4 linked regions of the Mus musculus genome follow. The protein of the gene in region 2 interacts with the protein of the main gene of each other region in a biochemical or structural test. Links are inferred from orthologs where the notes say so. Each region holds a gene or a part of one and is shown on either strand. Other genes may lie near its edges. The genes, in order: Mecp2, Prpf40a, U2af2 and Htt.

Evidence for each region.
Region 1: the proteins of Prpf40a (region 2) and Mecp2 form a complex in vitro, tested with the Homo sapiens proteins (2 studies listed by BioGRID, with this or other methods). The link is inferred for Mus musculus from reciprocal best matches to the Homo sapiens genes PRPF40A and MECP2.
Region 3: the proteins of Prpf40a (region 2) and U2af2 form a complex in vitro, tested with the Homo sapiens proteins (2 studies listed by BioGRID). The link is inferred for Mus musculus from reciprocal best matches to the Homo sapiens genes PRPF40A and U2AF2.
Region 4: the proteins of Prpf40a (region 2) and Htt form a complex in vitro, tested with the Homo sapiens proteins (2 studies listed by BioGRID and IntAct, with this or other methods). The link is inferred for Mus musculus from reciprocal best matches to the Homo sapiens genes PRPF40A and HTT.

What each region holds. Positions count from the first base shown.
Region 1 is NC_000086.7:74,081,500-74,089,426, reverse strand, and holds the start of Mecp2 (methyl-CpG-binding protein 2), read left to right. Parts: upstream 1-3,736; 5' UTR 3,737-3,840; coding exon of another isoform or gene 3,841-3,917; intron 3,918-7,927. UniProt on the Homo sapiens protein: Chromosomal protein that binds to methylated DNA. It can bind specifically to a single methyl-CpG pair. It is not influenced by sequences flanking the methyl-CpGs.
Region 2 is NC_000068.7:53,137,020-53,144,485, reverse strand, and holds part of Prpf40a (pre-mRNA-processing factor 40 homolog A), read left to right. Parts: intron 1-2,456; coding exon 2,457-2,543; intron 2,544-2,622; coding exon 2,623-2,719; intron 2,720-2,805; coding exon 2,806-2,867; intron 2,868-3,893; coding exon 3,894-4,025; intron 4,026-5,215; coding exon 5,216-5,308; 3' UTR 5,309-7,466.
Region 3 is NC_000073.6:5,069,930-5,077,395, forward strand, and holds part of U2af2 (splicing factor U2AF 65 kDa subunit), read left to right. Parts: intron 1-432; coding exon 433-571; intron 572-4,651; coding exon 4,652-4,731; intron 4,732-4,805; coding exon 4,806-4,928; intron 4,929-5,211; coding exon 5,212-5,298; coding exon of another isoform or gene 5,299-5,310; intron 5,311-5,538; coding exon 5,539-5,787; intron 5,788-7,466. UniProt on the Homo sapiens protein: Plays a role in pre-mRNA splicing and 3'-end processing. By recruiting PRPF19 and the PRP19C/Prp19 complex/NTC/Nineteen complex to the RNA polymerase II C-terminal domain (CTD), and thereby pre-mRNA, may couple transcription to splicing.
Region 4 is NC_000071.6:34,906,826-34,914,291, forward strand, and holds the end of Htt (huntingtin), read left to right. Parts: intron 1-258; coding exon 259-421; intron 422-607; coding exon 608-768; intron 769-1,806; coding exon 1,807-2,020; 3' UTR 2,021-5,709; downstream 5,710-7,466.

The sequences.
Region 1 (7,927 bases), on a different chromosome or scaffold from region 2:
TGCATGCTTCACATCCCTGGTTTCTATATTCCTTGTCTATGAGCACAGAGACTTCATGCCCTCCACATCCATCATATTTAAAGGTGATTTAAAGAGATTGGGCCTATCACTTGCATGAAACTCACCAAGTAGGCTGGGTTAGGCTAGTCAGCTAGCCTCAGGATTCTGCTTGTTTCTGACTCCCCAGTACTGGAATTACAAAATTCCAAACACATGGCTCCATGTTCAGATTTAAAAAAAAAAAAAAGTTTTGAAGATTGAAATCAGATTCTCTCTTTTTGTTTGTTTATTTGTTTGTTTTGTTTTTTGAGACAGGGTTTCTCTGTGTAGCCCTGGCTATCCTGGAACTCACTCTGTAGACCAGGCTGGCCTCAAACTCAGAAACCCACCTGCCTCTGCCTCCTAAGTGCTGGGATTAAAGTTGTGCGCCACCACCGCCCGGCTTGAAATCAGGTTCTCATGCTTGCACCATCAAGCATTTTGCCAACAGAACTTTCACCAAAGTTTCTTTATTTCCTTTTAATCTTAGGCACTTTTCTTTCATTGCAAAATTTTGTCTGTCTGTCTGCCTGTCCATCCATTTGGATTGGGGAGAAGGAAAGAATGAGCCATAGCAAGTATGTGAATAAAGGTCACAGGACAATTTATGGGAGTCAGTTTTAGGTACTGGGACTTGGACTTAGGTCATCAGGCTTAGCAGCAGGAGCCTTTACACTGTCCATCGTGCCAGCCATGGTACTTTTTTTGAGTAGTTTTAAGAGTAAAAAAGGAAAGCTTTGAGAGCATGTACATGCAAGCATAATTTATTGTCTTTTTCTATTTTACCTTTAAATGTGTATTTATTTTTATTTTATGAATATAAATGTTTTCCTGTATGAAAGAGATTGGGTTTTGTTTTGTTTATGAGACAGCATCTCATGTAGCCTAGGCTGGCTTTGAATTCATAATGTAGCCAAGGATGACTTTGAATTTCTGATGTTCTTGCCTTTTACTTCCTGTGTACTGGCCTTATAATTGTGCACCACCATGACAGGTGTATGTAATGCTACGGGTTATCCCAGGGCTTTGTACATGCTAGGCAAACACTTTACCATTGAGCAACACTTACAGCTTCTGGGACACTTGATTGGTGTGTATGATGGATGAATGGTTTTGGGAGATATTACATAAGTATCCTCAAGTCAAATTGTGTTTATACTTGTGTAGCATCATATGGGATGTGCCTTCAGTATTTTGAACTGTGTCATCTTTCTCATTTTTCTTTGTCATTTTGGAATTAAAAAAAAATGTCCCACCACTCCCACAGATTTTTGGATAGAGTGGATGTGTGTGTTCTATTTTCCATATTGCTAAAATTCTTCAGTTTGTTGAGATATATACATGTAGTATACTTTCCTGGTTGTAATTGCCCCACTTTTTATGTTGGGGATTGAATCCAGGGCTTTATGAGTGGTAGGCAAGTGCTCTACCATTACGTTTTATCCTCAGACTCTATCTCCCCATTTTAAAGGAATATTATTTTTAAATGCTACACTCTCATTTTTTAAATGGCTCCTTTTAATTCTACTGCTAAAATACTTTTGGTACAATATGCCTTTTTTTCTATTTTTTTTTTTTAGTGCAAGTATAAAATATGTCATTTAAATCTCTTTTATCTAATTTAAGGAACTTAAGATTTTCTTCCCAAAATTTCACAAGGTAGGAAAATGATGTACTTTATTTTTGTGAATGATATTGCACTGTAGATCTTGCTGTTTCTTGCTTTGTTCTCAATTAAATATCATGTTTCCTCTACAGCTTTATAGACATTTTGATCAGATTAAGGACATTCTAATTATAGTTCTTTAAGGTGTTTTTAAAATCATATGTAGGTATTGAATTTTATTAAATGCTTTTTCCTGCATGTATTGGGATACTCACATGATCTGTTCTTAAAATTATAATTGATTTCTAATTTTAAACCATCCTTGCATTCGTGGAATAAAACTCAGCCTGAAGGTGTGGCTGGAGAGATGGCTTGTTGCTCTTGCAGAGGACCCAAGTTCAGATCCTATTCTCTGTATATGCAAATACCTGTATTCTCACACCCCAACATACACACACACACACACACACACACACACACACACTACCACTCTTACCCACTTGTTTTTTACATTTCTATCTTAGTATTTTATGTGTATAAGTGTTTTGCCTGGTGCTCACTGTGGTCAGAAGAGGGCACAGGATTCCCTGAGACTAGAATTACAAATGGTTTAGAATGGCCATATGGGAAATCCTCTAGATTTCCCCCACTGTAGTAAGATATTCACTTAGGTGATCCTGTCCCAAAGTCAGCCATCATCCTTATTTTTTTTCTTTCTTTCCATCTGATATCCAATACTTTTGGCTCAATTTTTAACATAAATCTTAACTATCACAACTTATCAGATTTCAACTGCTACTGTCCTGGTTAAAGCCTTCATCATCTATCTTTCTTCAACTGCTGCCAGGACCTCTGGACCAGCCAGTTCTTCATTCTTCACTGGCAACATAGGTTTTATGGTGACAGCTAGTGACTCAAATATTTATCAAGGGCTTCTCATCTCAAAATAATCTCCTAGTTCTTTTGGTGGCCTAGGTCTCTCTCCAGTCACACTGGCCTCCTTAGTAAGGCAGGCATAGTCCTTCCTTAGAGTGTTTAAACTTGCCTAGAATGTTTTCCCCAATTACCCATATTGGGAGACGACATGAGGGCAAAAGCTAGAGGGTATCATAATAGCACTTCTTTTGTCCTTGCCCTATCTATTTCAAAGTCTTTATCTCTGTGCAAAATTTTAAGTTCTACTTTCTTGTATGTTTAGTATGACTCTTCCTTACCAGGAGTCTAGTTTGTCTCCTTGTTCAGTACTAAAACAGTGCCTAGCAAATAAATGAATAGAGAGGGGAGCCAAATTTGAATCAGAAAGTCTCTTGTTGCATAGTGTTTAAAAAACAAACAAAGAAAGAAAGTCTCTTGTTGAGCATTTGTTTAGCACAAAGAGCATTGGATGCTGACTGGTATCAGGGTAAGGCTGCTTTGACAATGCTCCCTCTGGCCTCACTCCCTTTTATACGTACTTCCATCAAACCATCTGATTCAACAATGACAGACCGATCTCTTATGGGCTTGGCACACACCATCTGCCCATTATAAACGTCTGCAAAGACCAAGGTTTGATATGTTGATTTTACTGTCAGCCTTAAGAGTGCGACATCTGCTAATTTAGTGTAATAATACAATCAGTAGACCCTTTAAAACAAGTCCCTTGGCTTGGAACAACGCCAGGCTCCTCAACAGGCAACTTTGCTACTTCTACAGAAAATGATAATAAAGAAATGCTGGTGAAGTCAAATGCTTATCACAATGGTGAACTACTCAGCAGGGAGGCTCTAATAGGCGCCAAGAGCCTAGACTTCCTTAAGCGCCAGAGTCCACAAGGGCCCAGTTAATCCTCAACATTCAAATGCTGCCCACAAAACCAGCCCCTCTGTGCCCTAGCCGCCTCTTTTTTCCAAGTGACAGTAGAACTCCACCAATCCGCAGCTGAATGGGGTCCGCCTCTTTTCCCTGCCTAAACAGACAGGAACTCCTGCCAATTGAGGGCGTCACCGCTAAGGCTCCGCCCCAGCCTGGGCTCCACAACCAATGAAGGGTAATCTCGACAAAGAGCAAGGGGTGGGGCGCGGGCGCGCAGGTGCAGCAGCACACAGGCTGGTCGGGAGGGCGGGGCGCGACGTCTGCCGTGCGGGGTCCCGGCATCGGTTGCGCGCGCGCTCCCTCCTCTCGGAGAGAGGGCTGTGGTAAAACCCGTCCGGAAAATGGCCGCCGCTGCCGCCACCGCCGCCGCCGCCGCCGCGCCGAGCGGAGGAGGAGGAGGAGGCGAGGAGGAGAGACTGTGAGTGGGACCGCCAAGGCCGCGGGCGGGGACCCTTGCTGGGGGGCGGGTAGGGGCGGGACGTGGCGCGGGAGGGGCCCGCGGGGTCGGGCGACACGGCTGGCGGATGGCGTCCCTCCTCTCTACCCTCCCCCTCCCTCTGCCGCCGGTGGTGGCTTTCTCCACTCGTCTCCCGCAATCGCGAGCGACGGTTCTCAGCGCGATCTCCCTGGAGCCACCTTCGAATGACGCCCTCCCGCTGCCCGCCCCATCTGTGCGCATCCTAGGCCCCAGCTGTGCAAGCGCCCTTGTCGTCTGGGCTTCGCCAGTTGGGGCTGCGCGCGCTCCTGCCCTTCTTGGGGCTTTGGGCCTCGGCACTGTCGCGCGCCCGCGGTCCCGGCCTCTCCCTGGATCGCGCTGTCCCCTTCTCCCTCGCGCGCCCCCACTCCCGTTACTTGCTCCCCCCTCACACACACAGACTGGCGCGCGTGCGCAGTCCATCTCCCGTTGGGAGAGTGCGCCACAAGGGCTCCTGAGCTCTTACCCCCATCTCTGGGTTTTGCTCCCTCCTCCTCCTCTCCCATTCCGTGACTTTTTGCCCCCACTGCAAGCGAGTCGGTCCATCAGCTCCATTCCCCACTTGGCAGGAACAAGTTGAGGGTTATTGTCCACCCACAAAAAGGACTAGACATTATGTTCCTAGGTCCCACAACTCATCATAAAGAGATGGTTGTAGTTCTCATCAGGAACCGTGGGCAAGGGACTGTGCGTTCCTCAGCACTCGAAGCTCTTCCGTGAGACCATGCCCGCAGGGTGCTCTGGTTCTTTGGGGATGCTGTGCTGTGGCTTCGGAATATGAGCGTCTTCCCACCCTCCCTCCCCTCCCTTCGCCAGCGATCATCCAGTTACATAAGTGGAATGGGACGTTGTATGTAACGGGCTCTCTTCGTCCTGGAGCGCTCAGGATCGCCAGTACCAAATGGGGCGAGATCATCGCATCGCTGTGACTCCTGTCACTTATCTTTGAAAGTTCATTCTCTTTTTAGTTTGGTTATGGCTGAATCACTGAAAATAAAACACAGGTGACTTTTATGTGGCAGTGGCAATGTTTCTGAGGTTTTGCACTAAAGGTTTAAAGTCATCATGGAGTCTAAAAAAGATTCCCTCTCACAAGAGAGACCCTGGTATGACATTGTTCAGTATGGACCCCTGAAGGGCAAAGCTTGTTAGGGGATACCTCTATGCTGGTTCCTTGTATGTTCGGGTATAGGTTGATCAAAACAAAAATGGGCTCCACCACAAATTTGATATTCCTGACTCATAGTCAGGCAGATATGTACTCTTGGTTAATTTTCCAGGAACACAAATGGGCTCTGTTGAGTCATTTGCATGTTGACTCCACTGTTTGGAATCATTACAGTGAGGCAGTAGGCTCAAATACAGGGTGGTTGATGACGATCATGAAACAGAATGGACTAATTTATAGTGCTAAGTGACTGAGATGTTGTAGGACAAGTTCTAGATATTTTGTTATACTACATAAATGAAACCAATTTGGGCCTGGGTAGTAAAATTTCACTAATAGGTAATTATTACTGTAGAGGAGAATTTTGGGTTTGTGGTTGGAATTATGTGAATCTCAGCAATTTCAATTAATAACATGATTAAACTGATATCTTAGGTTCTTTGAAATATGTCGAATCTCTATAAAAAGATAAAATTTGGATTGTTAGGTCCTTGGGGAGTTTCCACCAAGGATTTGGAAAAATATATTTACAGACTTTTGGTTTTTCGTTTGTTTTTAACTTCAAATTCAAGTCATACTCAGAAAGCCTAGGAAACACTTGCTTTTATTTTCTTACCTGGATATGTCAGAACCTTAAAGAGTCCAAACACTGTAAAAGTACAAATGATCTAAAATGAGTTAATACACATGGCCGACAGAGTGCATTCACTTTCACAAACACACCCAAGTCTTGCTTGTCAAAAAATTCCAAGGTTTGTACATCTGAGCCTGAGCTCAGAGTTGGAACCTTTACTTTGTTTTTATATTCTTACAACAGGTTTGCTTCCTCAGGTGCCCCTCTGGTTATCTATTTGTTGTACCCATAGCTCTTTAAACATCGTAAGCAACTTCTAGAACACAGTTTCCTTTCAAAGTGCCTGGTGACATCTGAAGCTAGTGTGTCCTAAGAATTTGAAGAAACTGTATGGCTTTCTTGCTAGTATTGATCTATCACATATGCCTATTTTCTTTCCATGAGAATGTGTCTTGAGTACTTTAAAGCTACAGTAACAGGTCACTATTTCACTGAAGAAGAAAGCATCATGTTGTCCATTGTACTCTAAGGATTATTTTTTTCCTTTTTTTTTTTTGTTATTGTTATACTGGTGGTCAAACCCAGGACCTCATGCATGCTAGGCAATCACTCCACATCCTTAGCCTTCTACTCTGTTTTTTGTGCTGTTTGACTCCTGAGGTACATATGACCACAAAGACTACACATAGACCACAAAGATTTTGGAAGGTTATGATATGTTTTTGCAATCTGTGTATTTTCCAGATAGAGTGGTTCACTCTACCTGATCTGCTTCTATGAAGCCTAATCTATTGGGGATAGGGAGGCAAAGCTATGGAGTTTAAGGAGAAATCAGCTAAACCCTTGTTCCAGTGCCCCAACTCCACCCATGAACTCCTGAGAAGTTTTTTTTTTTTTTAAACCTAAAATAAAGAGCAGCAGAGGTAAACGTGTTAGTTTGTTTGCATGGTAAATGATATATCCTGGAACCTGTTATCTTTTCTAAAGGTAATTGTCAGTGAGAATCTTTTTTTTTATTCATTATTCTCATATATTGCATCCCAACTGTATTTTCCACTTCCTCCTCTCCTCTCAGTCCCTCACTCCTCCCTTCTCCTTCCCCATCCACTCATCCTTTTCCCTTTAGAAAAGGCAGGCCTCCCAGGCATATCAATGTAGCATGGCATATTAAGTTTCAATAAGACTAGTCACCTTCCCTCATATTAAGGCAGCCCACTAGGAGGAAGGGGATGCCAAAAGTGACAGAGCTCCCCACTCCCTCTGATGGGAGTTCCACAAAAACAGGTCACTCGGTGGGGAATGTTTTAATTGGCTAAGAGCAGTTTACCACCAGTGAACTACTTCTGGGAAGCATAGACTGATGGACAATGACATTTCTAGTAGCCAGTGTTTTTAAGCGCAGCCTAGACTAGAGAATTCCAGGAAGTGTGGCAGAATATCTCATTTTAATCACCTGCTCTGGTAACATCTGTGCAGCAAGCCATGTGGCTAACAGAAACAATCTTTTTAGTTGGGTAGAAAACACTATTGTTCTTCCAAGGGAAGGACATTGTCCTCAGTGCCCATCACAGCCATTTTTAATCACTCCGCTGTTGTCCAATCAGAGTGCTGCACCTGCTCATCATTTCAGGGAGTCCAGTGGCTCCCTACTTCTGGGGCTAGTTTATACAGAAGGTGTGTGTGTGTGCTCTTCTGCTTTCTACAGCTCTCTTCTGCCTTTCTCTCCCAAGGAACATTTTCCTTTGAAAGTTTGATTTCAATCACTTTTATGGGAAATATAGTGTGTGGAATGTCTGAATGGTGGCAAGACTCAAGAGAAGGCAGACGAGCCTACTCCCATGTTAAAGGGGGAAATATGACCTTTTCCTGGACACTGCTAGCATGTGAATGTCTGCTCACCTAGCTGGTACTATGGATGTCTGGACTCTTGTTACTGGCCAAGCCTTAGTAAAAGTGTGCTTATCTTTTCCTAAAAGCAGGGGGTATTTTAGTATGAATATTTTTGTTGGATTTTCACCTAACTGAATTCATTTTTAACTTTTTTTTTCATCAAATCTCAAACTTTTTTAAGAGCTTAGAATAAAGCTGAGTTCAGCTTCTAGTGAAATAAGGGCTGAAGATATAGGGCTCAGTCAGTAGTGTAGAGCATTTGCTTCACATGCTCAAGGCACTGATTTCAGTTCCATCCTTACAAAAAAATAAATAAATAAA
Region 2 (7,466 bases):
TAGGTATGCCAAAAATCTATAGTTTCTGAATTACAATGGGAAAAATAGGAAGTTTTGCTTAAAATAACAGTGGGAAATTATCAAGTAAGTCTATAGTAGAAATATTTTCACTTGTTTCAAGACAGGCTCTTGTAAATTATCCTGAATTGACCAATGACTATTAAGTACATTGTTATAGACTGTGTGAGCTAATCCATTTATCATTCATAGAGCTTACATGTATGAACTAAATCCTTACAGGAAGTTATGTTATGTTACAAATAAGCAAACTAACAACATGAAGTAAGTTTTGTAGGCAATGGCGTCTAGCCGATATATATTATTTGACTATTTATCAGTGCTTTCAAAAAGTTTAACATGAGCTAAGGAAATGATTGAATGGGCAAAATCCTTGGTCTGCAATTGTAAGGACTGATGTTCATATGCTCTAGCATACATAAATGCAGGGAGGATATGGTAGGCTACATATAATCCTAGCACTCAGGGAGGTTAGAAATATGATCTGTGAAGAGTGGTAAGGCTAGCTACAATAACAGTTTTTCTGGGTTCCAGTAAGATAAACTCTACCTCACTATAACGTGGAGAGTATAAACTTATGGATTCCACAAACATGTACAAAGTACAAAATGGAGGATATCATCCTGAATGAGGTAACTCAATCACAAAAGAAGTCACTTGATATACACTCACTGATAAGTGGGTGTTAGCCCAGAAACTTAGAATACCCAAGATACAATTTGCAAAACACAAGAAAATCAAGAAGAAGGAAAACCACCATGTGGATACTTCATTCCTTCTTAGAATAGGGAACAAAATACCTATGGAAGGAGTTACAGAGACAAAGTTTGGAGCTAAGAAGAAAGAATGAACCATCCAGAGACTGCCTAGCCAGAATAGGAAAAGATGGGCCTAATTCTACTGCAGCTTGATGTGCCTGATAACTATGGGAGGCCTCCCCTTTTCTGAGGAGAGAGGGAGGACAGGAAGAGAATGGGGGAGTAAGAGCGAGGGAGTAGGGGAGGAGGGAGTGGAAGGTTTGATTAAGATGTAAATTTAAAACAAACAAACAAACAAACAAGCTTGGTTATACCCATATTCCAAAGCATTTGAATGTATTTGGAACTTTGAGATGCTGTATCCTAAGGAATGTATGAGCTACCTTTTTGTAATCAAGAATCCCCAAGCAATGAAGAGATGGTTCATTGAGTAAAGAGCGCTTTTGTGCAAGCATAAAAGACAGTCTGAGTACCCACCAGGCAGGGGTGGATACGGGGAAATCTTCTATGCTTAACAGCCAGCCATCTTAGCCAACACAAGGAATTTCTAATAGAGTGAGCCTGTGTCTCAGGGAGAAAGGTTGAGAAGCTAGAGAAGATAGCTTATTTCTTCATCTGGCCTTTGCATGGGTGCACATCACACTCTTCATTCACACACCACTTAGACACACATACAGAGACTAGCCAGCTTTGTACTTTTGGTAATTTGAGCTAGAGGTAATGTAGTGAAGTGGTAGATGAATCTAAAGATGATTCTATAGGAAAAGAGTGAGCAAGTCAGATTGTGAAACCTGATTAATAAGGTCTTGAGGCACCGTTCATTGAGGCAGAAAGGACTTCATTCTTAGCCAGGTTTTCCATTTCTACTTTTTAGACCAAATGTGTGTTATCTGAGCCAGGGATATAAACATTAGAACAAGGAGCATTTCCTGCAGCACTTCTCCCTTCCAAGTAGCCTTATGAATATTTTACAGTTGTGTGTACATCTGTGTAAGTCACAATTCATATGGAAGTCAGAAGATAAATCCAGGAGGTTTTTCTCTCTCTGCCTTATGATTGCCAGGGGTAGAGCTTGGGTCTTTACGTACTCTTTCATAACTGTTCCCATACTCCACCAGCACCACCCACCCACAATGAATTGTTTACTAAGTGTTAAGGGCACAACCTGTAGTTAAATAAGTGTTCCCTGTGTGAATTCGGAGGAAATGCTTCTTGGGACAAAATAAAAAGGAATAGATCTTGTGTATCCCAGTTGAAAGATGCCTGTTAGGTTTTTTATCTCAGTGCTTGGCCTAGCTTACTAACCAAACCTAGTCAGATTAGATGACAAAATTATGCCTGAATAATTTTTTTAATAATTATTGAAAGTTACACCTTTTAAGACTTTTCCCTACCAATGCTCTTGTCATTTTGATAAAAACTACTTCATTAATATTTTGTAAAAATTTTTCAGATACATAAATGAATTAAAATTTTTTCAGATACATAAATGAATATATAATATATGAATACCTAATAAGAATAAAAATAGTGATTTCTCATGTAATCACTGGACATCTTATTCTAATGTATCTTGCTTAGGACTTTTTGAAGATCTCACATGGTAAGCTTGTACCATTTTCTTGTTCTTGCCTATACAAAGCAAGTGCAGTTCTTAAAGTTTGTCTTTTACTACTCTAGCATGAATGTCAGCATCATCATTCAAAGAACAAGAAACATTCTAAGAAATCTAAAAAGCACCATAGGAAACGCTCCCGCTCTCGATCGGTAAGAAGTGTGTTGGCTGGCACAGTAGACCAAAACATTTGTGAACATGCTTGTGAATGTCTGTATGTGTATTGTTTAGGGATCAGAGTCAGATGATGACGACAGCCATTCAAAGAAAAAAAGGCAGCGATCAGAGTCTCATTCTGCTTCAGAGCGTTCGTCCAGTGCTGAGTCTGGTGAGCACTTCTCTCTTCTTGAGTCAACCTTGACACTTTGATTTCTTCAGATTTTGACATTTTCTTTTTCTTTCTATGCTCCACAGAGAGAAGTTACAAGAAGTCAAAAAAGCATAAGAAGAAAAGCAAAAAGAGGAGGCATAAATCTGTAAGAAAGTTTCTAGTTTTTAACAGTTCCAAGGCTTTGCTTTGGAAAGGATTCTTCGGCCTTCTCATAATCTAAATCTGTGCTCATTTACCTTGGGAATAAAACCAGAACCTTTAAGTGTGCTTCCCCTTAGTCTTCCATTGTGATCACTCGGAACTTCAAATAGGAACATTCACAAGTACTAGGGTTCCTAACCTGGTCTTTTAAATTTTAAAAGAGACAGAAAAAATAAAAATGCTTGATCAGTTTCTCTTCCAATGCTGTAGATGCATATTAGGTTGGCATAGGGGTTTTTCATCAGTGGTGTCTGAGTTTTAGCACAGATGCCCTGAACTAGATCGGTTGTCTTGGTTTCTATGCTGCTTCCTAGGAGTTTTAGCTATCTAACCCAGAACTACTTATTTAAGCACTAACATTTTAAATAACTTGTTTTCTCTGTGATTTTTCAACCTTGTTCCATGGATTAAATGAACAGCTTAGTCAGCAGTATCCTTATACAGATCTAAGTAAACCAGAGATATGCTTGATGAAAAATGTGCAGGAACTAAGGCTCTATATAGCTCATTAAGGGTGTGTGTTTAGCATGTATGTGGGGCCCTGGGTTCTAAATAAGTAAGTAATATCGCTCTATACTTACACAATAGATATAACCTGGTGCTGAGGCTCTTAATAGTGTTTTAACATATCCAGATGTTGTTCTTCCTGCGTTGAACACTGGAGAAACTCTAGTTTTGGGGATCAGAGTGGGGGATGATGGCGCACACCTTTAGTCTCAGCATTTGTGAGGCAGAGACAGGCAGATCTCTGAGTTTGAGGCCAGGCTGCTTTCAGAGCAAGCTCCACAGCAGTCAGAAATGCACAGAGAAACCCTGTCTCAGCATCTTAACAACAACAATTCCTGGGGTCAACTCACTACATTCTTACACCTAACCTATAAGTGTGATATTATTAAACATCTGCATAAATAATCTGTAAAAGAATGGTATGCTTATCAAAATTCTGATATGTTCGGTGTTTTGTACATAGGACTCTCCAGAATCAGATACTGAACGAGAAAAGGATAAAAAAGAAAAAGATCGGGACAGTGAAAAAGACAGAAGTAGACAGAGATCAGAATCAAAACACAAATCACCTAAGAAAAAGACTGGAAAGGATTCTGTAAGTACTGAAAAGTGTTTCTTTCCTGAATTCCCAAAAAACAACAGTTCATTCCCTCATTAAATCTTTGATGGTGTTTATAGGATTTTTTTTTCTTGATCTGCTAACATTGAAGAAAAGAATAAATTCTCTTCACTGCTTATCACAAAATAGCTTTCTGGTACCATTCATTTCCTTACCTGATTTAGGAGGAAATGCTTCTTGGGATGAAATAAAAAGAAATGTCTGAGCCGGGCGTGGTGGCTCACGTCTTTAATCCCAGCACTTGGGAGGCAGAGGCAGGTGGATTTCTGAGTTCGAGGCCAGCCTGGTCTACAAAGTGAGCTCCAGGACAGTCAGAGCTATAAAGAGAAACTGTCTCGAAAAACCAAAAAAAAAAAAAAAGAAAGAAATGTCTGGTACCACTTCATAAATGACTATCCGGTTGATTCTCTTACATTTATATTCCTTAAAAAATTTTAACAGCAAATTAACAGTACAAAATAGTTGTCATTTAACTTGGAATGAAAAGATAATGTTTGAATTTTACAGTACCACTGAGAAGTACATTGGGCACTGACACCTTGATTTTCAAATTATTGGGGTTTTGTTCTGGTTTTGAGACAGGTTTTCTCTGATTCACGACCTCCATGAAGAGTGAGTCCCTCTCTATGCTTGTCTCCTCTGTAGCAGTGGTTTAAACAAAACACCTCAGAGGACCACTCCACTTCGTGAGGTTGTTTCTCATAGACTTTAAGTCTTGTCTGTGTTCATGAGCATAGGTCAGAGACCATTTAGAGTCTAAGTTAAGTCTAAAACTTAACATTGCTTTACAGGATTACCTAAAATTTATAAAATTAGCAAAAACCATACTGCTTTGGAAGTGGATGTGTGGCTTTCATTAAGTGGGAACTATTAATATTTAATTGTGTGAAACAAAAGGAATTAGTATGTATCATTTTCCTTGTTTACATATTTAATATGAACTGAAGTAGCTCTATATAAGAATCCCTATCTTAGCATTTTTTTTTCCTCTAATAACATCCAAGGAATGTTTAATAACCAACGGTTGGGCTTTGGAGCAAAGTATCAGTTTTAAAACCTCGTGAGATGTTTTTGTGTGACTGAATTCCACATCTACTTTAGAATCTTTTTACAGTGTCAGTTTTCAGGATTAACTTTAATTGTAATTGTGTTGAATGTCTTTGCAGGGTAACTGGGATACTTCTGGCAGTGAACTGAGTGAAGGGGAATTGGAAAAGCGCAGAAGAACCCTTTTGGAGCAACTGGATGATGATCAATAAATTATACCAAATATATGTTTATAGTATGATTTAAAGTCTAATTCAGACCAGGGATTATTTTAAGTCCAATTTACATAACACTGGGTTTTAATTGTGTCACAGGAAAAAGTGCATTTATGTATTGTTATTGTGGACTTTATAAAAGCAAAGGAATTGAAAATAACTTGATTCTGTATCAAGAATCATATTTTCCTATGGTAATAACTGTCTTTCTGTGACCCTTTCACAGGGCACTACAGGATGGATTAAAAGTGGCAATTTCATGATAGCTGCAGACGTCTCTACTTTGTTCTAAGTCATGAGGTGATTTGATTTCCTTTATAGAAGTTGGATTTTGAAGATACAATGAAAATTTTTGATAATGTAGTACAAAAAAAGCACCAGCAACCTATGAGAAGACTGCTTTTTTGTGCACTACTGAACTGGTTAAAGCCAATGTGATCTTCTGTGGTGAGCTCTTAAGAAACAGGTGTTTTTGATGGAGCCTTGGTAGACCTTTAACAGCAGTGGTGCTAACGAGCACTGCTGTAAAAAAGCCACCATTATTTTTTATGAAACATCTGAACATTTTAAAAAGGCTTATGAGGGCATTATTTTGAGCATCTATTTTGAGGTGATGTTTTAAAATAGCTAACATCAAGTCAAATTGTAAATTAGTTGAAATATATTGCCTTAAGGACCTACTAAAGAATGTGCCACCAAACTTTTGAGTAATAGTTGAAATATCCTTGTCAGGGGTGGGAAATCAATGTTGACTTAAACATTTTCTTTTAATTTTTAATCCAACCTTTCTCTTACACTTTTTTTTTAATTCCACTGAGGAGGTTGTAAATTACCTTCCTTACTGAGAAGTATTGACTTCATGGTACACATTCTAAAGCATTTCTGATTTCAATATTTTTGTACATTTTTATCTATTATTAAACTTCTCTTGTAGTGTGCACTAGTCTTTATTTCTACATAAGCTGCTCAGCTCTAAGGAAATTGTATGATCATTTTCAAGATAATAAATCCCTGAAATTTTGTTTCATCGTACCCATGGTAGCTACAGTACTTTTTTTTAATATTTATGAACATCGTAAATCAGTGCATTTGAGGTTCTTAAATGTGTTTTCACCTATAAATTTCCTATGGAATATTTTAGAAAGGCAATGACTATTTTAGAAAGGCAGTGGCTTAAAGTTACAATTCTCTTTACCTGCTAACTCTTGAAGGTTAGTAATGTGATTTATACAATTTCCTTCAGTGCAGGAGATTTTGTTTGTTAATTCTTATGTAAAGATTAGCAGTTGTTCTTTAGTATTCTCTTTGTTCTTATAATTTGGACATGCTGAGATTATCTCTTTCAAGTTGAGATTTAAATAGAATATAAATTATTTCATTGCCCTTTAAATGAGTTAGGACAGATCAGTACAGCCCTTTTTCCATCCTGCCCAGGTTTTTGATTAAATACTGGCCAGGGTTTTAAAACCTCACAAGGGAGGTACTTTATTTCTAACCTTCTCATCGCCATGTCCATTTTCTGTTGAGATATAAGACATACTTTGTGGAAAAGAGCATTCTCTTAGAGAAAACGTTATATGATCAAATTGCTTGCTTGAGATTAGTTCCTCCTCCCCTCCCCCACTCCCCCCCCCCAGTTGTATGTTATTCAAAATACCTAACAACTTGCAACAGAATCTCCTTGAGTTTAATTTTCAGGGGTCCTCATTTAGCAATAGTCAAGATTGCTAATGAGTCCCAGTACTTGACACGGAGGTCAGAGATAGTCTTTAAATCATGCTTATTTTTGGAAACAAACCAGTAGTATTTCATAAGAGAAATTAGAATCTGTAAAATATGTTTTAATTCCATGAATAATGATTTTTAAAGTACAACATTAAATTTTTGATATATTTGAATAAAAAGCTATTGATGTTTTAGCATGTCCTCAAAATAGATTTCTGTGCTTCTTATAATTTCTTCACATCTTCAGAGTCTTATAAAACATGATCAATTAAACTATCCCTGCAATGAACCTATGCAAATCAGACACAGCAAAAGACATAAAGTGATTCTCTTGACTAAAACAGTTTTTTTGTTGTTGTTTTGGTTTTGGTTTTTTGGAGATAGGGCTTTTGTGTAGCAGCAGCTGTCTTGGAACTCTGTAGGCCAACAG
Region 3 (7,466 bases), on a different chromosome or scaffold from region 2:
TCCTAAAAACCGTGGGGTGTTGGCATGACCAAGGCTGCGGAAGAGGTTTTTCAGTGTTCCCTTTTCAGACTGCATTGCCCATAAGAGTCCACTTTGATTTGTACTCTTGGAGACTAATGTCACTTCATCAGAAAGCCTGGGCTGTCATTGCCACGTAACTTAGTTGACCTAACTTTTCTATGCTGGCTTCTCAGCAGTTGGTCCCTTTCCAACATTGTCAGAGTTTATGATAGTGTGCTTGCTATCTGCTGGGTGCGAGGATATTGCTTTCTAGAGTGTGAGCTTCTAGAAGCTATCTGGTAGTGCTTGTTCCCATTGTTCATTATGGGTTTGGTACTATGTTTGTTTATATAAGTGGGAGGAAAGTTAAGAGTCTTGGGGGCTGGTCTAGTCCCAACCTACCCCTTAGCTCTGTTGTTTCTCTTCCTTCAGTTCCGGTCAGTGGATGAGACGACCCAGGCCATGGCATTTGATGGCATCATCTTCCAGGGCCAGTCATTGAAGATTCGAAGGCCTCATGACTATCAGCCATTGCCTGGCATGTCAGAGAACCCCTCTGTTTATGTGCCTGGTGAGTGGGAATTCGTTGGGTGGGTGGTATGGGGAGTCACTGTTTCCTCAACCCAGGTTCCTGTACTTAGTCCAGCTAGAGTTGCTTTGGAGATAGTGTGTGTGCGCTGTGGATGTTCTTCTAGCTTGGCAGGTGTCCTGGGCCTTTGAGGTGGTGATCTGTGATCTTCAATCTTAAAGTTTAGCTTAGCTTGTAAATGTCAGAGCCAGGTCCAGATCAGAGGTGTCCTGGAAAGTGTGGGACTTGCAGTCTGGGCATTGTTTTTACCTTGTCCCCTTAGCCCTGGGATTTTAGGGCTTGATGTGTTGTGTATGCTATGTATTTGTAAGTACATATCAACAGATCTTTGCATGGTTCTGGTGTGTGGCCCTAGCATGTTAGTGTTCACTGATTCCATGTCTTTGGCATGTGTTCTGTACTGTTTCCTATAATTGTATATAGTATAACCTCTGATTGGTAGGTCACGATAGATCTTTACTGTTTAAGCTACAGACGGGGTCATTAGAAATTTGGATTTTTTGTGATCCCCCCCCCCCCCCCCCAATTCTGCACTAATCTTTCAGTGTTTAGCTGTAGTTTGCTGGCCTTTCCTTTGGCAGGTCAGGCGGGATGAGCTGGGATTTGCAGGCTGTATGACCCCTGCTGAGCTTCAGGAAACACTGGTGCTGGGGTCCAGCTGAGTCAGTGAGGCCCAGGTCTGAGGCTGATTGCAGTGAATGTGGGGTCCTCCGAGTAGATGCTCAGCATCAGAGGGTGCCCACTGGAACCAGGTCAAGTCACCCCTTCTCTATAGAGGAAGGAGCACATTTCTGGTAGTGTAGGACTTGGGGTTAGGGCCTGACTACCGAATGCTTTCTTACTGCAAGTTCTGGTCACATACCTGAGTCTAAAGCTAGCATGCTCTTGAAAGTATTGCTTGGAGAAGATTCACAGTGGTACTGGGGCTTGAACTCCAGTCCTTGTGCTTGTCAGGAAAGCACTTACTGTCTAACCTGAATCCCAAGCCCCTTTTTAAGTTCTCATTTTGAGGTAGGGTCTCACTAAGTTTGCCTAGACAGGCCTGGAACTTGGGGGCCTCCTTCCCCCAGCTGCATGGGTAGTTGGGATTATAGCCCTGTGCCACTAGGTCCTGCTTGCTTACTGACTTTCAGGTGAAGCTGTAGAACATCTTTTTTTTGTATCTCTTGGCACTAAATTCATTGTTTGGATTGCTCTTTAATTCCATGAATAGACAGCCACCTGCTGGTTTTACTGACACAGTGTGGCATGCCAGGTATTGCCTGTTCCTGAATCTTCTTTTAGCCTTCACTCAGCTAATTATGACTTGGAAGTCAGTTGTGACCCACTGCTTGGTTTTTTGTTGTTGTTGTTTGTTTTTCAAGACAGGGTTTCTCTGTGTAGCCCTTGCTGTCCTGGAACTCGATCTGTAGACCAGGCTGACCTCGAGCTCAGAAATGTCTCCCGAGTGCTGGGATTAAAGGTGTGCGCCACCACGCCTGGCCCACTGCTTGTTTTTACAAATAAATTTTGGCACAGTGTCATTCCTTTTATATTACTTTTATTACTGGTCTCATTGTGGTATTAGGAATTGAACTTAGAGCCTTGCATATGCTAAGCAGGTGGTTCGCCACATGGGGATACTCTCAGCCTTTTTACTAGTAGTTTGAGGCAGGCTTTCTCTGTGTTTCCCAGGGAGGCCTTGAACTTTGGATCTTCCTGCAGAGTTGGATTATAAGCTTGTACCAGCAGGCCTAGCTGTAGTTTTTTGACACATGGTATAACTGTATCTTAGACTGGCCTCTTAACTTGATTTTCTGCCCCCAGTATTGAGATCACAAGCATGTGCCACATCACATGTCGTGGATGGAATTGTCACTTTACAGAGGAGGAAAGCCAGGAGTGGTGAATAATAATAATTGTTCGTGATCACGAAATTCATAGGTTTTCTGGGCTGCACAGGTTGGCCTAGGAGTCCTAGCTCAGCTTTTCTCTGTACTCTTTCATGTTAAACTTTCTACTGAGAACATGTAGATAACAGGCATAGTTGCTTTGGGCCATGCTGTTAAGTGACGGGCCTCTTTCACAGGGAGTCTCTACATTGCTTCCATTAAACAATAGAAGGAAGATCAGTCCTGTGTTGTGTCTCTTTGGGATGTGCCTGTCTGAAGACCTGGCCCTCCAGGTCTGCCTGTGCTTCTGCACAAAATTACCACTTTGGAGGAGGCAGCAACAAGTGGAATTCTGTCTTGTTTTTTCAACTTCCACTTCCAGAGGAGAAAAACAAAGGTCACTAAATAAACTAGAGAGGAAAAGCATTTGATGAAATCCAATAAGTATTGATGATAGAGTTAAAAGATTTGTAAATTGGAAGGCTGATGTTCTTCCTGGGGAGAGAATGGACTGATAACTTACACTGACATCACCTGTAGTGGACGCTGCGCTTCATTTCTGTGGAAGTGAAGTTGTTGTTCTTAGTCACCAGTGTTAGCACCTTGTATCCCTGGATTAAGTGTAGCAGAATGCTTCTGTATGCGCCCTGTTTGTAGTGTGTTGGTCTCCCTTTTTCTCTAGCTGTAGACAGCAAAGAATTGAAGTTAGGACAACTGGCTTGGGTCCTACCTTGTTCTCCCTCTGAGAGAGAAGTGATAAGTCACAGTGATTACCAGATTGGGCTTGTGGTCCAGCTGCTGCCTTGCTGCTTACTTGTCAGAGACTGGTGCAGAGTCAAGCCTGCTGAGCTGCTTTAGAAAAGCTCTGTTGAAGTCACCCTTTTCCTACTCTTAGAACTTTACTTCTTTTGCTTTAAGCTAGGGCTTTTGTACCTAAGGTATGAGTCTTTTGCCTCCATATAAGTATATACTGTTTGGATGCCTGGTGTCTAAGGACATCAGACGAGAGTGACGAATTCCCTGGAACTGGAGTTAGGAGTGGTTATGAGTCCTCCTGTGGGTGCTGGGGAACTGAACCTGGGCCCCCTGGAAGAGCAGCAAGCACTGTTAACTGCTGAGCCAGCTCTTCAGCCCCAGATAGATTTTTAAAGTGGTTGTCCTCTGGCTTATGGCAGTACTGGATATGGCCTGGCTGTTAATGCTTCTGCTTGTCATAGTTGCACTGTAACTTAGGTCTGTTGCACAGTCTAGATAACTTGACTACTGGGGTGCACTTCTAATAGTTAGAAATAGCTGAATTGATGCTTGCAGTTCTTTGGGGCTAAAGAGTTATAGTGGGGCAGAGCCAGCCTAGAAGATGGGTGGGGCACAGTGACTCAGGTTCTGGGTGTGTCGAGTCATTATCTTGATGCTTTTGTACATTAGGATGGACCACTGCATTTAGCATGGGGGAGAGCTGAAAAGGGTAGCCATACAGAGTAGCCAGACTGATGCAGGGCTGAAAAGGGTAGCCATACAGAGTAGCCAGACTGATGCAGGGGCCTGATACTGACTCTAAGAATTAAATGCTAATATTGGTGAAGCTTGTGGGGTGTGCTAAGAAACATCTGGCCGTCACTTCTATGTGAGTTGAGTAGAGAAGTGGTGCAGACTCCCTCAGGTGATAGCACCATGTAGTTATATTAGAGCTTTAATGGATCCTGAACACAGCTTCGAAGAGTTGACCATTAGTCATCACTACAGTGGCAGTCAACACTGAGGCATGTTCTGAGACTCTGAGCAGCCTCTCAGCTCCTTGTCACATTACCTCAGAATGCAGGTCACCCCTGCAGGGGCTTATGGATACAGGGCAAAGGACTGAACAACCGAATGGGATGAGATGTTGGTGGGTGGTTGTCAGTTCTTCGGGAATGTTTCATGTTCAGTTGTTGGCTGGCCTATGCTTGTATACTTGTCAGAATAAGGGGATTTAGTGTGGCCTCCTCCCACCTTTACATGGTATCTTAAGTAGATAGGACCTGTGAATCCATGGTAGATTTTTTTTTTTTTTTTTTTGAGAGACTGATTCTTCTGCCTTAGCCTCCCCAAGTGCTGAAAAGACAAGTGTGTGTCACCAGTCACAGCTTTCTTCCTGGATGTTGGGAAATTACTTTGTATTGGAATTGAAGTCTTTATACATTTTTGTCTTTAGGAGTTGTATCCACTGTAGTCCCAGATTCTGCCCACAAGCTGTTCATCGGGGGTTTGCCCAATTACCTAAATGATGACCAGGTAAATCCTCTGCTCTTTTGCTAGCTACCTTTGTCAGCCTGACCAAACCCTGATGAATTTTTGGCCCTTTGTAGGTAAAAGAGCTGCTGACATCCTTTGGGCCTCTCAAGGCCTTCAACTTGGTTAAGGATAGTGCCACAGGGCTCTCCAAGGGCTATGCCTTCTGTGAGTACGTGGACATCAACGTCACAGATCAGGTGAGTCTGAGTAGCTGCTCATTCCATCTGCCCTTAACCCTACTCTTATTTCTAACCTTAGGTATCCTCTCCTCAGGCTGTGGGGTGGGGTGGGGTGGGGTGGGGCAGGGTGTTTAGTCTTAAGCAAAGCCTTGTGGGGACTCATTCCTTTTCCCTTGGTTTTGCCTCTTTCCAATCTTAAAAGCCCTTTGCCTTTCATTCTTTCCCCACCAATGCCTGGTCCTTTGGTTCCTGACCTGTTGCTTTTCCTGCACCCTTTCCACCCTTTGTCCTCTGACCATAGGCCATTGCGGGGCTGAATGGGATGCAGCTAGGGGACAAGAAGCTGCTTGTCCAGAGGGCGAGTGTGGGAGCCAAGAATGCCACGCTGGTGAGCCTCCCGGCACGTCATCTTCCATTGGCTAGAGGGACCCTGGGGGTGGGAAGGGTTGGATGGGTAGGTTTTCTTGAGTTCTGCCCCAGTTTTCATGGGAGGGGATTTGGGCACTGGGTTCATAAGTGCTTAAGTAGAGGAATGGTCCCACTAGTTGGGTGTAAGAGGCACAGGCTTGAATGGAGGGAGGCTAGTCTGAGCCATTTTGTGACAGATCTGTTCTCCCTGACCCCACAGAGCACCATCAATCAGACACCTGTGACCCTTCAAGTGCCCGGCCTGATGAGCTCTCAGGTGCAGATGGGCGGTCACCCAACTGAGGTCCTGTGCCTCATGAACATGGTGCTGCCTGAGGAGCTGCTGGACGATGAGGAGTATGAGGAGATTGTAGAGGACGTACGAGACGAGTGCAGCAAGTATGGGTTGGTCAAATCCATTGAAATTCCCCGCCCCGTGGACGGCGTCGAGGTGCCTGGCTGTGGAAAGGTCAGGGTGCCCTTTTATCTTTTGTGAACAAATCCCTTAGCACCCTGTCTCTCTCAGTACCTGACTAGTTCTGAACAAGGGTGACGCAGAGGACCCTGAGAGGATCAAGGTCTCCTGGGGTCTTGGGGCCTATAGTGGAGAAATTGATTTCTATATATTGATGCTATGTGTGTGTCTCTGTCTGTCTATCTATCTATATGGTGTGTGTGTGTGTGTGTGTGTGTATATGTGTATATATATATATATGTGTGTATATATATATATATATATATATATAAGTTCAAAACTTAGTTTTTCTCTTTCTTATGTGGGATCCTTTAGCAAGTAGCTTTTTGCCTTTTTTTTTTTTTTTTTTTTTTTGGTTTTTCGAGATAGGGTTTCTCTGTGTAGCCCTGGCTGTCCTGGAACTCATTGTGTAGTCCAGGCCGGTCTTGAACTCAGAAATCCGCCTGCCTCTGCCTCCCAAGTGCTGGGATTAAAGGAGTGCACCACCACACCCAGCTTAGCTTTGCCTTTTTTGTTGGTAAGATGTTACTACATATAGTTTTCTTACTATCTACGTGCCTTGAAGCTGCATCTGTGTTCTTCTTTCACTGGCTTCTGAACCTCTTTTTAGAGTGTGGTACAAAGGTGACAACCACACACAGCTAGGCATCACATGTTTGTAGTCTAGATTTCAGAGGCTCCTGAGTTACCACCTCTACACTATGGTAGGTTTAGATAAGCTTTGCATGTCCACCTTGGAAGGTGCTGCTGAGGGGTTGCTGGTGTTCTTATTCTGCCATTAGAAGATTTGGCTGTGAATAGAGCTCTTACCCACAAACAGCGGGGGACACTTTGCTAGGGTGCTGTGTTGGGCAGTAGCAGGAAAGGGTGGGTATCAGAGTTGCTACATGCCTTTATTTTTCTTTCTGGTACTAAAGATAGAATTCATGGCCTTATTGTAGCTAACTAAGCAAGTGCTTTATCCCTGAGCCACTTCCATAGACCCAAGTTCTGGTTTTAGATAGGTGCCTGTCCTAGGCAGATGGACAGAAGCAGAGACTTTAGGTAGGATTGCTGTGTGTGTGGTTGGGGTTAGGGTATATTCAATGTAGGGACTTGCTTTTGCCCCTGTAGAGCTAATTGCTACATTGCAGGAGTATGAATGAGATGAGGCCAGGATGTTCAGCCATTGGTTTTTAGGAACTCTTGTTATGGCTGAAAGGACCATGAGCAGGATTTGAGAGAAGAGGCCAATTTTGCAAGAGGATTATGGAGGTCCTTATGAACTTGAGGAAGAAGCCTAGGGTTTTCTTGTAGAGGAGTGGAGCTTCACAGATAGAAGGAAGCTGATGTAATGCTAGCTCTTTGATAATGTATGGAGAGTGCCGAGTCATGAGTCAGGTGATCCATGGGGTTGCCTGTATTAGTATAAGAGAAAGATGGTGGCCTGCTTTAAAGTATGTCTTGTGCTGGGAGATAAAACTGTTTAGTCAAGGTGATATTATCTAGTGAAAACATACAGGTTGTATGCCCCATAAAACTTGAAGTGGCGAAATTGCCCAGTGACATTCAGAATATCTCTGTGTCCATAGTGATGTGGTGACTATAATGGGCAATGAGAAATGGATGAGTTTGTGGAGATGGGAGTGACAGGTGAGGTGGAGCCATTTTTAGGCCTACTGCCTCTGAGGTTA
Region 4 (7,466 bases), on a different chromosome or scaffold from region 2:
TACAAGGCTGTCCCACAACTGCATTATTCTCCCCAGAGTGGGAAAGATCACCTTGTGCCCAGATCAATCAGGGCAGCAAAAGAACAGCCTGGATATCATCTTTGGCTTTTAAAACTCATACCCTAGTTGTGGTCTGAGCCCCACTTGGAACATTCCTGTGGGTCAAGGACCTCTGAGCCTTAGTCCATGATGGCTCTATGGGCAAGGTTGAGAGGCCAAGAGCCAGGGTGAGGCTCAAATCAGCTCCTCTCATTTCAGGATCCGCAAGGGATTTCCCTGTGAAGCCAGGGTTGTGGCAAGGATCCTGCCTCAGTTCCTAGATGACTTCTTTCCACCTCAAGATGTCATGAACAAAGTCATTGGAGAGTTCCTGTCCAATCAGCAGCCATACCCACAGTTCATGGCCACTGTAGTTTACAAGGTGAGGGTGTACTTGCCTTGTGGGGTAAGGACAGAGCAGGAGGAGGAAGGGGGAGCCAATCCCACACTTGCCGTAGGCCTGTCATCAGGGCTAGACTCATCCTTTAAGATGAGTGGCAGCTGTGGCCCCAGTCCCCTCACCCCACCCCACAGTCTGACCCTGTGCTCAGGGCTCTCTTGTCCCTAGGTTTTTCAGACTCTGCACAGTGCTGGGCAGTCATCCATGGTCCGGGACTGGGTCATGCTGTCCCTGTCCAACTTCACACAAAGAACTCCAGTTGCCATGGCCATGTGGAGCCTCTCCTGCTTCCTTGTTAGCGCATCTACCAGCCCATGGGTTTCTGCGATGTATCCTTCCTTCCATGGGACTTTGGCCAGGTTCCTTGTTCACTTAGCATCCAGTTCAGGTTTCACTGAATGTTTTCAAACCTAAACTCTAAAGAACCTCACAGGTGGGTGGTGGTGGCGCACGCCTTTAATCCCAGCACTTGGGAGGCAGAGGCAGGAGGACTTCTGAGTTCCAGGCCAGCCTGGTCTACAGAGTGAGTTCCAGGACAGCCAGGGCTACACAGAGAAACCCTGTCTCAAAAAAACAAGAACCCCACAGGTGATGCTTACCCTTCCCTAAAATGTTGACAGGGACACGAAACAGAAGGTCTAACCATTTGCCAGCCAGGGTTTATGGCAGTTTTACTGCTGAGGGAAAGGGAAGTCCAAAGGGAGGCAGGGCAGCTCAGGCCAGCCAGCCACTGGCCCTGCGGCTGCCCCATCATCTGGCATAATCTGTCCCTCTGAGGTTTTCTCAATGCTGCTTCTCATTAGCTCTCATCTTTACGCTGTGGTCACCCTCCTGGGGAAAGCCGTAAGTAAAGCTGCAGTTCCCGCCCTAACAGTGATGCCAGGAGTTCCTCTTGGCAGCCTCCTTCTCAGTAGACCACAAGAGTTACTAGCAGCAAAGCTGTCTTGGTGGTGACAGTACAGCCTCACCCTAAGTACTGGGAAAGCCTTGCAGGCAGGGTGCTAGCTAGCTCTGCCCTCCCTGCACTGGAGCAGTTTGAGCAGGAACACCAGCCACTAGCACTGTGTGGGGAGCACAGCCCAGGTAAGTGCTGTTGTGCAGAGCACTGGGAACCAGCATCCTGTCTGCACTGCATGACTCCCACTTCCTGGGCCTCTCTGCCTACCCACCCCTGTCCTCCTGGGCAGACAGCAAGCTGCAGCTGAGAAAGGATTACAGGCAGCTGCTGCTGTTAATGTGGTCTAGGCTGCCCTCTATTTTGGTTGCCCTCAGTCTTCCCTGGGCCTCTTGGTGGACTTAGGAGGGGAACCGCTTGGGGAGGCTGTCTTTCCACCCTTGCCATCGTTCCTCCTTAACTCTTCTACCAGCCTTCCACATGTCATCAGCAGGATGGGCAAACTGGAACAGGTGGATGTGAACCTTTTCTGCCTGGTTGCCACAGACTTCTACAGACACCAGATAGAGGAGGAATTCGACCGCAGGGCTTTCCAGTCTGTGTTTGAGGTGGTGGCTGCACCAGGAAGTCCATACCACAGGCTGCTTGCTTGTTTGCAAAATGTTCACAAGGTCACCACCTGCTGAGTAGTGCCTGTGGGACAAAAGGCTGAAAGAAGGCAGCTGCTGGGGCCTGAGCCTCCAGGAGCCTGCTCCAAGCTTCTGCTGGGGCTGCCTTGGCCGTGCAGGCTTCCACTTGTGTCAAGTGGACAGCCAGGCAATGGCAGGAGTGCTTTGCAATGAGGGCTATGCAGGGAACATGCACTATGTTGGGGTTGAGCCTGAGTCCTGGGTCCTGGCCTCGCTGCAGCTGGTGACAGTGCTAGGTTGACCAGGTGTTTGTCTTTTTCCTAGTGTTCCCCTGGCCATAGTCGCCAGGTTGCAGCTGCCCTGGTATGTGGATCAGAAGTCCTAGCTCTTGCCAGATGGTTCTGAGCCCGCCTGCTCCACTGGGCTGGAGAGCTCCCTCCCACATTTACCCAGTAGGCATACCTGCCACACCAGTGTCTGGACACAAAATGAATGGTGTGTGGGGCTGGGAACTGGGGCTGCCAGGTGTCCAGCACCATTTTCCTTTCTGTGTTTTCTTCTCAGGAGTTAAAATTTAATTATATCAGTAAAGAGATTAATTTTAATGTAACTTTTCCTATGCCCGTGTAAAGTGTGTGACTTGGCAAGGCCTGTGCTGCATGTGACAAAGTTTATGGAAGTGGAGGGGCCTTCTGGCCGCCACTCCCTCTCCTGTAGCTACTCAGTCTAGTCGGGCAGGTCCCTCCTGTAGCCCTCCCAACACCCTGTGGCACTTGCACTTCATACAGCTCCCTTTTCTTATGCATTCCATTAAGCCAGCACAGAGAGAGGTGTTGGTATTGACTGCCTGTGTGAGAATCCTGCCTGTGGCCTAACTGAGGAACTGAAAAACTGACTTCCACTGTTAGAGTTATAAGAGGCTTGCCCTGTGGCAGCTGCCCTCCTCTCCCCTTCCCAGGCATGACTGTCAAGCTATCTCCTCCCTGGTGTTGATGCACTCTCCTAGTCTCTCAGCCTGGGTAGAAACAGCATCTGCTGGACCCAAAGTGGCTATCCCAATAACCTCATCCCTGGTTGTGGCTGACCTGCACTGTAGCCTGCCCACACACCAGCTGACCATTGTGGATGCTGTCTGTCCCTTTGTATCTTCTGCATGGTTGGGACCTGAGAAGTGCTGACCTGATTACCCCAAAGGTGTCTCTGAGCTATGGTTTGTTGGTTTGTCTCAGTTTCTCATAGTCAAGGGAAAGCTTGGTGTCCTAGCAACAGTTAAGAATGGACCCAGAGCCTCTTTTGCCCCTTCCCATCTTGCCTTCTGTCAGCCCAGTAGAGTACAGACCTATGCCTGTCAGAGCCCAGGGAGGACTCAGCTGACAAGATGAGGCACCAAAGGGAAGGTTCAAAATCAGGTCAGCCTCTGGCCTCAGACAGCTTCCCATGCTGGTCAGAGCCACCTCTTCCCAAAGCCCAAGCCCAGAGTAACCAGGTCATGTTAATGAAAATGAGCTACCTTCATTTCCTGGCTTGGTTTGGGAACTCTGTTTGCTGTTTGACTATATGACCAAGCAGATTTTCTGCTGTTCCGCTAAGTCATATCTGTATTTCTCAGCTGTAGAGTAGGGGAGTGGAATAGTTTGGAGATGTTTCTAGGCTACACAGGAGGAAAGAGCTTGCAGCCTGTGATTAACTAACTGTGCTTCAGTCCATGGATTGCTTTCTTGAGACCCTTGAATTTCCCTCTATCTTTCCATCATGACAAGTAGCCTTGCTGCTGGGATGCAAGGTTCCCTACCAAACACAGGTTGTGGGGAGCCTCACACTTGGCCTGACTCTCCTCCTATCTGCCCTGGCAAAAACCACCCCAAGGCGTGGTAACAGGAACAGTGGACATGGATTAGGTCTTTCAAGAGGACGTTAAGGGAAGCTACTGAATTTTAATGAAAGAAATTCACCAATGCCCCTTTGCTGATTTAGGGCTTCTTCTTGTCACCCTCAATTTCCCGCCTAGAAGTGCTCGGGGACCATGTGAAAGTTCTTACAGTGCTGCTGCCACACTCTGAGGTTGGTCCAACCGCTCTGAGATGAGCATGGTGCAGGCCTGATTACTCCTCATGGTAGATGTTCATAAGGAAACTCAATATAAAATCTAGAGCCATTCACCAGGGGATTATATCAGTGAGCTCAACCTCAAGTTTAGTTGGCCTCTTGTTTAGTGTGATCAGAAACAATTCTTAGTATGGGGCAAGGACAGCCTCTGCCACAAAGTTGTTGTCTGCTCATGGGTGCCACAACCTAGAGATGCACCTGGGTACAGGCAGGTATGTATTTGTGTACACACATAAACACACACACAATCCTCAAAGACATATGCAAGGCCTCTAAAAATGCCTGCCTGTTTTTTCTGAAAGCAGACTTTTCTTGCAACTGCCACATACAGTCAGCTTTGTGAGTCTAGCATCTGAGAATGGGACTCAATTTTTAAAAGTCCATAGCTCATTAAAGTCTCACTGGAGACATTGCCCCACCTGTCTAACTGCAGGAGGGACTAAAACTTTTTATCAAATTCCTCAAAAATCTAAAGATTTCCAAGCTTTATTTAAAAACAAAAGTTATTTTGACTATGAGGTTTTAGGGGTAGGAGGTGGGATGTTGTTTCTGTTTCCATGGTGGTACTGTCAGGAAAGATTTTAATAAAACCAGGGTAGAACTTTTGGCAATGCACTTCAGCATGTTTCTTCTCCAAAATGTGCCTCCCTCCCTCCCACTGATGGCCCCCTTGACATGTAGGTGACTTAGCCACTGCCAAGTGCCCTTTATGGTTCTCTCATTTTGTCTGCACATGTACCCTTCAGGAGGGAAGAACTGGAGTGGAACCACCTCCTGCCCTGTAGAATGCAGTGCCAGGGAAGGGACCAATCCTAACAGGTGCCTTCCCTGGCAGGAAGTACCTTCCCGTGAGTGAGTGAAGCAGCTCTGCTTCCGGCTCATGGGACAGGTTTTATACAGCAATAGCTTGTCTCACAGCCACGTCACAAGGAGTCTTGCCTCCCATTGTGGGGCTGCAGAATTGGTCTCCTTGCCACCTGTGAGCATCCTTCCCCACACAGTCTCCTTCCCTCCCTCCTTCCCTCCCTCCCTCCCTCCCTCCCTCCGTCCCTCCCTCCCTCCCTCAGCATTGAGCACTAGGATCATGGCTGCTACCAGGACAGGCATGAAGCTGTCCTCCAGGGATTGGTATGTGGGAGTCGAAGACACTGAGCTGCTGATGCTGGGTGTGGGCTCAGGATATCATGGTTGGGAAAAGAATTGTTCCTCAGTGGGTCTGGAGCCTCCAGGAAAGAAGAACCAATGCTGAGCAGTGTGACAACTAAAGATGATATCAAGGTTCAGGGCCACCCTCCATGTGTGCTTGTCACACTCTAGAGCCATCGAAGGAACTGCTCCCCTCAAGTGTCTCTGGAAACACCCTCTGCCGCAAGCTGGGTGTAAGATAATAGGTGGCAGAGACCTATCTGCAGAGATTTGGCTGCATTCTAGGGGGCTCCTGTCCAAGCCTTGCTGCTGTATGCCATGGGCTTCACTGGGAACTAGGAGGGCTGTGATGGGTGTGCCCCGGAGCCCAGCCTAGACCTGGCTGTCCATTTCCAAAAGGAAGGACTGACATGAAATGTATATTTAAAATTTTTAAATTGCAGATATTGTACAGTTGAATTAAAGAAGCGATTAAACCACCTGTTGTTGCTGTTTGAGGCTTGCTTTACTTATAAAACCTCCTTTCTAGCATTTGAGGAGAGCATCCTGCTTATCTCCAGTGGGGCAAGGATACTACCAGCAGCCATCTTGACACTGTAAAGATCAGGCAATACTAGGTATAGAATGAGACTGTGTGCCTGGAATTGGGACCAGGCCTAGGAGTATTCGCAGACCCTATTGAAGTGGTCTCCCTGTCTGGGAGATATGGTGTGCCAAGTTCTCATAGTTATTGGCATTTTAAGCCTGTCGTGTGAGATCCTAGGTATTGTTTCAGCTTCCACACATTGCTCCAGGGTTCTAGAGGGGTGGTGAGGCTCTGTCCTCACACAGGACACAGTTAGTAGTCCTTGGAGTCTTTGCATGCTCTCCACCAGCCCTTCTGCCTTTCTGGACATGCTCCTGATCCACATGGATCCTCTTCTGCCCTTCAACATGACTGGTCTTACCACCTTTGTCCTGCTGTGTCTGCAACACCTACCCTGTCCTTTGTAGGTTACAACTTCTTTTAGGTTGTCTATGACATTGCCTGTCTTACCAGGTCCCTTCTTTAGTATCTGGGCTAAACCTGAAATGCAGGTACTTCATCCACCAACCTGCAGGAACAAGGCTGTTTGGGGAACACTTTCTAAAGGCCTGTCAAGTTTCAGTTGTGAGGCAGGAGTTGTCTACCTGATCCTTCAACCCACCAGACCCTGACGTTAGTGCCAGGATAACTCTTGGGAGTCTTATAGAGCCCAGTGCATGCCACTATCCCTTCTAGGACATGGCACAGGGTCTGTTCTCTGTACAAGATAATGAACCTTTGGCAGGAAGGGCCTGGTAGGTGCCCCACCATGTTTAGGTCTTTGCCCAGTAACTCAAGCATTTGATGGCAGCATGGATGTTATTGCTTCAACTCCCTGAATCTACCTCAGCAGTCCTCTCTAGGACTACGGTGATATTGCCCTTAAGGTCTTCATCAACGCCGGGCATGGTGGCACACACCTTTAATCCCATCACTTGGGAGGGATTTCTGAGTTTGAGGCCAGCCTGGTCTACAATGTGAGTTCCAGGACAGCCAGGGCTATACAGAGAAACCCTGTCTACAAAAACAAAAACAAAAAGATCTTCATCAACACTTGAGTTTTGCTCACTTCAGGAAAATGAAGTACCCCTGCCCTCCTGGTGGATAGCCAGACCTTTGACCTAACAGGCATGGGTGGTATTCCAGAAAGGATAAGGTAAGCCTCCCTGGGGTATTGGCAGCACATTATTCCTTCTAGCCACTAAAGCAGAACGCAAGCCCTCACCATAGCAAGTCCAGCCCTCCTGCCTGGGGAATGTAGGAGCACATGACTTGAGGTACCCCTCAGCCTCATTGTGGTGTTTGTCTCCAGTTTTTCCAAAAAGCATTCTGAAGGAGCTTGAAGAAGCAGCCTGATTGTGTTGAATACGGGGATGGGTAGTCATGGTATGTGTGCCATTTGTGGCCATATGTGTCCACATATTGAGTGGACAGGGTCCAAGTTTCCTGGAGTTATATCCAGGCTTCCTAGGATGTGAGCCTCACCTCCATACAAGGTGGCAAAGCTCAGCCAAATCAAGAAGACCTACTTGGGTAGCCCAGGGAAGGCTCATGAGCAGAGGTGGACCCAGGTACTTGAGAATCACTGAGACCTTCCTGGGATCCACACACATCCTTAGCCCTGAAAGCCTGAGTCTCATCTTCCTCCATGTTGTGGTCCTGAAAGAGATGCCTGCTTCACTTCAA